Xenopus tropicalis: one gene and its partner. The protein of the gene in region 2 purifies or fractionates together with the protein of the main gene of each other region. This does not show direct contact. Links are inferred from orthologs where the notes say so. Each region holds a gene or a part of one and is shown on either strand. Other genes may lie near its edges.

What was found.
Region 1: the proteins of golph3 (region 2) and fam20b purify together in Homo sapiens (affinity purification with mass spectrometry; 3 studies listed by BioGRID and IntAct, with this or other methods). This does not show direct contact. The link is inferred for Xenopus tropicalis from reciprocal best matches to the Homo sapiens genes GOLPH3 and FAM20B.

What each region holds. Positions count from the first base shown.
Region 1 is NC_030680.2:99,822,545-99,826,373, reverse strand, and holds part of fam20b (glycosaminoglycan xylosylkinase), read right to left. Parts: intron 2,795-3,829; 5' UTR 2,704-2,794; coding exon 2,327-2,703; intron 789-2,326; coding exon 702-788; intron 1-701. UniProt on the Homo sapiens protein: Responsible for the 2-O-phosphorylation of xylose in the glycosaminoglycan-protein linkage region of proteoglycans thereby regulating the amount of mature GAG chains.
Region 2 is NC_030677.2:200,758,660-200,762,488, reverse strand, and holds part of golph3 (Golgi phosphoprotein 3), read right to left. Parts: intron 2,202-3,829; coding exon 2,087-2,201; intron 1-2,086. UniProt on the Homo sapiens protein: Phosphatidylinositol-4-phosphate-binding protein that links Golgi membranes to the cytoskeleton and may participate in the tensile force required for vesicle budding from the Golgi.

The DNA of each region.
Region 1 (3,829 bases), on a different chromosome or scaffold from region 2:
ATAGTGCAAGGTATACCTGGGAGCAGTTAAAAGATGTCCGTATGGTGCTCTGTAACAAAATCCCCAGGCAGTTTTGTTGTGCCTGCCAGCCCAGAATAAAAGGTGAATCAATTCTAATCACAGGGGGTGCCTAAAACACTGGGGCTCACCCCAAAGACTGAACGGGAGTGTATTTGTGCCTCAAACTGCTCTGCAATAAAAGGCATCACTTTAAACAGCCACAGGGTCCCTGATTGCAGCTCTTTGGAGAACAAATACAGATTGCCAATTTTTAAACAAGGGATTGCCATATCCTAAACTACAAGAGACAGTGCAGTTTGGCCACCTTAGCAAATGCCTTAGCAAACTAATACTAAGGAAGAAAAAGTTCTAGAGGGCACAGCGAATCTTTGATAGACAAAAGTTTCTCCTCAGGGGTCTGTAAATATGCTGATTGTATGCAGGTACGAGGCAGCTTGACATTTCTATTTGGCCGAAGGCAACTTTTTGTACCTGACAATATAGTCCTTCTAGCCAACAAAAGAACACTTCCTGTTTTGTTTAAATGAAGTCCATTTCCCATGGAAGTATACCAGTTGCTGTTGCTACCATATAAATGACAGGTATCCAGCCTCACAGATGCTTGGAAAGCAGATTGGGAACTCAGTAACTATGATACCTGTTTGAACCTGATCACTGGTTGAAGTACTGCGCATACCCACCTGTCTAAATGAAAAGCAGTGACTTCAGCATTATGCCTGTCATACCCAGCGTACGGTTCTCCTTCCACAATATAATCACGGCTGTATCTGAAACATTCAAACAAAATATTACATGAATTTTTCCATGATTACAAGCACAGAAACTACAGATAGGAATGACAGAAATGAAGTTATAAAGAAGCCATGCTAAATGGAATTCAGATATACATAATCAGCTCTTGTTTCAACATGTGCATGGCCAACTCAGCTCTTTGCTCATTTTTAGCCCTGTAGCTATTATATAACTAAATGCAACTATTTGGTAGCCATATTTTACTCAGAAGCTATGACGGGAGCCTTTAGGAGAATGTAATTGTGATGTTGGGAACTTTTACCATTACAAACACAGCATTCAGTTTTGGATTAACCTAAATGTTATAAAATGACAGCACAAATTTGAGTGGTTGCTATGGGAAACACTGTCAGTGAGGGGTGTAAGGTTGCTAAATGAACAATATTAGGTTTGGGAAATGTTGCAGGTACTGGCAGCTTACTTCAGGTCAGATATCAGACCTGTCAGAAGAGAAATAGGATTTAGCTGAAGGAGAAGGTAATATAATCGGGGGTAGGCAAGTTATTAGGGCCCACCACTGTTCTTCTTGTCACTTATTACCCTGGGCCGAAGCTCTTCCAGGTTAAGGTTTTCAGAGCGTCACATTGTCATCTATTTATTCAGCCCTCAGGATGTCCCCTACCCCAGTTATAAAATGGTGCATGTGTAGTACAGAAATAAAGTGTTCTGTGCTAACCATGTGCTTGGACAAGCCCAATAGAGGGCACTTGGAAGATGGTGTGGCACTCATATAGCAGTACCCGAGGCTGGTACCACAGCAAAGGGTGGGAGGGCAGAGGCCAGAGGATGTTAATGCAGAACTCATTATGTCTCTTATGGCTAACAGCTGATTATAGGGATGGAGTATATATATATATATATATGTAAAAACATAAGAATTACCCACTAGTGCTTTAATTAATACAATATGCAGAAAACATTTCAGCATAATTTCTACTGATTTTATAGAAAATATCTAAGTAGTTGCTTTTTATTTGTATTTACTATTGTTTCAAGCACAAACATTTGTCATGTTAATAACTAACCAGAATATGGGAATGTGTTCAATTTGTTACAGTGTAGTGAGCAACAATATGATGTAAATTAGAGAGCTCACACTCATCAGAGGGATACTAATAGAAGGAGTTTATTTACACTTGGATGGGGTTGTGAATGTAAGCAGCCTACAGTGTTTGTGGTTACTTATAGTAATGATTCTTATGGAACACTCCAGTTTGAATAGCTCTGGGTTAAAAATCAGTAACTGGTGCTACATACAGGGTTCCCATGCAGTGCAATTCATTTGTTTCAGTTTTAAAGTGTACAATATTTGTTGTACAGTGTGTGCCATGGCACCACAACAAATAGCAGTGTATTTATCACACATCAGTACCCAGCAATGGTGTCTGGGGTTATGCTTGTGCCATAGGTAAATGGAAAATATTATGCCTTTCCACAAAAGCAGCAAGAGATCAGTGAAGCATGCACACAACAGCACACATAAAGGAAAGTGAGCAATGATTTAGACTCCTACCTTTTGGGCTTAAATACCACCTTTTGTCCACCTTCCAGGACAAGCAAAGCTTTAAGCTGTGTGCCTTTGTAGCCAACATCAGCTTTCACAATTTTCTTGGTTGCCATAGAATGCAATACTGCTCCCATTTCTGGGCTATCCTCAGGATACACTTCCCGTGGCACGACCCATTGGGATGCAATCTCCCAAGGGGACTGCAGGGTATGCTCCAAACGGGAGTCCATGGTGAGCCGTAAGCCGGACATCATACGCTCAAAAGACAGCTGGTCCTGCCTCTGAGCAGCAGAGGTCTCCAGGCGGTCCAATAAAAGAAGCTTGGTGAGAACCAAAATCACCAGCAGCAGAGCCAAGACAGCGACCCGCTGCTTTAGCTTCATGATGCCCAAGATAAAAAGCTCTTAGCAAAGAAGGGTGATGTCCTATGTGTGCCAGGTGCAGGGCATTGCGCTGTTTGATTCCTGCAGGAACCTGTGGAAACGTAAGTGGTAAATTAATCATGCTACAAAAGAAGAGTACAGTTAAGTATATTTCTCATATCTATTGTCAAGGAAAAACTGTTGGATAGGCCAGTTTGATTGTAGCTACATTTTATTCGTACGTACGAAGGCAGTATCCAGACATTCTTAAATGAGAATTGTCTATGAGCTGATACTACATTGAATAACCCAAAGCATGTTTGTCTTATAGTCCTGAAACAGTCTTATCAGTAGTTAGCTTTGTTATCTCTAAGAACAGAACAGGCAAAGAGGCCCAGTTGACCAACACCCAACATGCCTCTTTTCACAAGTTTGCGGACTCATCCAAAATGTTTTTACAACAGCAAACAGAAACATTCTTACACAATGTATTTCACAACCCCTCTAATATTAAATGATATGAACAAGATGGAGAAAAGAAACAAGATGGTTTCTTTTTTCTCTAACACTATACTATGTACTTTCTTCACTATCAAAAGGAAAACCTACCTTAGATTAACTGTGTACAGGGCCCTCTCCCTATTGTCTCCTAACAATATGTAATTGTAACTGGAATTTCATTCTGGTTAAATGTTTGTCTATATATGTAGCTGTTATGTCTTTTGTATTTGTATCCATTTATCCTGTAAAGGCCTGCAGGGGAGGAAGCAGTTATATAATAACGATAAAATATCTTATTTAAAACACTGAAGATTAAGATAAATTAAAGTGAAAAGGGAGAATAAAATTGGCACCAAACACAAAAAGCAGATGCCAAAAGGTAATGTAAATCTAAGACCATTGTTGTGGCAGAACCTTATACTGGTTGTGTTTTCATGCTGAAAAAGGTAAAAAAAATCATCCTATAACCACAGAAAGACTGAATGATTTCATTGTTCTGTATACCCTGTAATCAGTAGGTGCTTTCCTAGGGTACCATACACTTATACCCTGGCACTGATGGGGTTAAACATACACCTTGTTCTCCATTTTAAAATCAGTCCTTTGACACTGATGGTTTTTGCACATTGCCGCCCACCCGACAAGT
Region 2 (3,829 bases):
AAGAGAGTGAGTGACAGAAGCCCCATAGTAGGTTTCTGTGGGAAAAGTTCCATGCAAACAGTTACTGCTTATCCATTAACATTCCCCAGTACAATAAACCAGAGAAATTAATAACTGATCTGTATTTCACACAATCAGGGTGCCAAAGCAGCTCCTTCTCTGGGTTATCTATTGTATTGCATTAAATTCCCTTCTGTCATTATCAAGTGTCCTTTTTTTTATTCCAGAATGAAGAAAATTCTGAAAATGGGATTTTGCCCTAGGTGCTACCATTACGGCTGCGAAACACCACCCCAAGACCTCTAGGATGTGTTGTATTGATGACATTTTTATTTGAAGAAGGGAAAAGAATTTGGCAGAATCCTTGGCACTTTGTTCTGCAAGAAATATTTGTTGTTGCTTTGTTAAAATTCCCCAAAAACATTATTCTTTGTGATGGAACAAACACTGATTATTATCCAGCCTTAGTTCTCTTATCATTTTTATTTTAATACAGGACTTATTACAGGATGGAGAATTAGATTTATTAGGTAGCTCAAAAAAAAGCTTTAGCTCCTAGTTGTTGCTCTGTGCTGCAACCAAATACAATTTTAGAAATCCAAAAAATAGGAAAAAAGCTTTAACAGGTTTGCTGCAAAACATTTATTATGGGTAGTGGTAACCATTCCCATAATAAATGTTTTGCAGCAAACCTGCTGAAGCTTTTTTCCTATTTTTTGGATCATTACAATTTATTATTAGGTAGTTGTCTAGATAAATTAGCTCACTGGCAATACACAGAACATTTATAAACTCCAGAAGGGCCCATCATTGCTGCTTTAGAGTGCCAAGCTGGCCATAAATAAAAAAAGATCCTAGGACCAAACTATCAGATCACTATAATGGGAATACAGGCCATTGGGGCAAGGATCATCATCAGCCAGCCAATGCTCCAACAAGATTTTTAAGCCTGTCGATATCTGGGCGATTCTCGGGCAGATATCGGTAGGGTAGGCCTGTTGGATAGCCCCTTACACAGGTAGATACGCTGCCGACTCAGACTGAAGGAGCTGAATCTGCCTACGTATGGCCACCTTTATTTGAGTATGTGCATAAGGAAATACTGCCATACCAGAGGAAGGTTGAGTGTGTCATAGGGAGAAGCTGCCTGACCAAATTTAAGGGAAATACTATCCACACAGGGAATTCACAAGACCAGGTGTAAACAGATACACAGCTCAGGGGAATAAAATATTCAGTATTAACTGCACAGCACTGCTGTATCCGAGACCAGTAAAGCAGCCTTATTTACTGTACTATTTACACATGGCAGGGCTGCCCAACCAGATGCAGCCCCAAGAGGATTTTTATGGCCTCTGGGTTTCTCAGCAGCCCAATGTTATTCTTTGTACAACATAACTTGGGTGGTTCACCTTTAAAGTGATACTAAAAAACTACTTTTCAAAATATTAATGTACATTAAAAGTTCCCTATAGGCCATGTTGGCCATTTCTCTCATAGAGGAACATGGGGGATCATATAGGTTACATAAAAGCATCAGGTAATATTTTTATGGAAAAAGCTTGTGCCAAGACAATGAATGTTATAATACATATAAAAAAAACAAATTAATTTCAGGTGTCAGTATATCTCTAAGTTACATTTTAGTTGAAGAATGCCCTATTCCTATTATTTATTTTTTGAATTATTTGCCTCTCTCTTCTGCCTCTTTCCAGCTTTCAAATGGGGGTCACTAACCCCAGCAGCAAGAAAACCTTTGCTCGGTGAGGCTACAAACATATTGTTATTGTTACTTTTTTAAACCGTATGTTTCTGTTCATGCCCCCTCCTATTCATATTCCAGTCTCTCATTCTAACCACTGCCTAGTTGCTAAGGTAAACAAAACCCTAGCAACCAGATAGCTGCTGAAATCCCAAACGGGAGAGACGCTAAACAAAAAGCTAAATAACTGATAAAACACAAAAAAAACAAAAAACAATTACAAACTGTCTCACAATATTAATGTCTACATGTCTTTAATTTTGTGATAGCAATCATATACAGCAATTGTAGCAGAATTGGATTTGACATAATTGTAACACATACCGCTGAGAAGTTCAATCCAGCTTTGTACAGTTTCTGGAGTTGGACTTTCCTTTATGTGTTTTAAGGCTTCATCAAGCATAACATCTCCTGTTGGAGCATCGGATTTGAAGGTAACCTGCAGAAAAAGTATACACAGAAGCAGGGATCTTAAATGGGGCATTACTGAATTAGAGAGAGTCTAAACAAGGGCAACTAAGCTGGTAAAGGGTATGGAAGTCTAAATTACAAAAAAAACAAAGTTGGGGCTGTTTATGCTGGAAAAAGGGCGCTTAATGGGGGATATGATGTATAAATATATAAGGGAGACCATATAATAATCTCTAATACTTTATTTACCAATAGGTCCCTTCCAGAGCATACATATATTAAAATAAAGGAGGTTCCATGGAAGGGTAACCAACCTCACCATCTGCAATGTACACTGCATTTTTTCTTGTATATTTCATACTAGCAGTTTTCACACTACATACTTTATGGAGAGTTTAACGTTCCATATCAGACAATACACAAGAATGAATTGTTGCGTTAGCTGTCTGTATATACCATCACTGCATACACAGCTAAGGTAGAAATGTCATTATAAGAATATAATCTTTAAAACAGAGGGGAAGAAAAATACAGCAGAGTTGGGGGAACATGGGGCAAAGGTGGGTTGTTCTATTGTGTGGCACCTAGAGGTCAGGTATATAGCTCAGCTATAAACAACACAACAAGGCCAAGAGTTCCGTTAGAGCTCAACTGTAAACAGGAAAGACAATAAGGGCAGTTCTGAAGAATGAAACTGTGTCAATATAACACAAAGAACATGAAGGTTATACAGCAAATAAAAGGGTTGGCAACGAACAACCAACACTCTCAAACCCTGTCTATCTCAGGCTCTTTCTAAAGACTGTAATGTTATTGTTACTTTGTATAACTCAACTTTCTATTTAGACCCTTCTCTATTCATATTCCTGTCTCTTTTTCAAACCACTGCCTGGTCGCTAGGTTAGGGCCCTAGCAACCAGATAGATGCTGAAAATTCATACTGGAGAGCTTCTGAACAAAAAGCTAAAAAATTGCAAAAAAATAAAACAAGAAAATAAAGACCAACTGCAAACTGTCTTAAAAGATTACTTGTTAAGTAAAGGTCAAGTAAAAGTTAACTCAAAAATGAACAGCCCTTTAGGTACTGTAGAGTTTTCCCTCTCAGACCCTATGCCATTTAAAACGGTTTTATCTTTCCAGAAAGAAAACTGTAACAGAATTTATCTTTTATAACCACACTTACTCAGATTCTTTAGCAACCCTCTCAAAGGCTACAGATTGCATCCAGTCAGGTTTAACCATTCAAATAGTGTGGATCGTAAAATCTAAGGCTAATGCCAGACAGGTCTGATTCCCAGTCTGCAGATAAACGCAGGCAGGGAATGAGGCCCTAAGCTGGCATCAGACTTTCCCTCTGCCAGCAACCAGAGTCATTACGCTGGACTTGGTGCAGACACACAGAGTGGATTTTGGCACTGAAACGCAAGAGTATCCAACTTGCCATGGAAATCTGCTCTATTTGCCTGCACCCAGGCTGATGCAATGGCTCTACATACAGGCACAGGCTGATGCCAGCACAAGGTTCACAGGTCAAGAAAAGACAAGCAAACAGCAGAAAGGCAAAGTGCAATATTATGATTTCTTGGCACCATGCCCGCTGATTTTAAAGAGCGGAACTGACCCATGGAACAAGAGTTAGTAAGGTCCCCTTTTGGA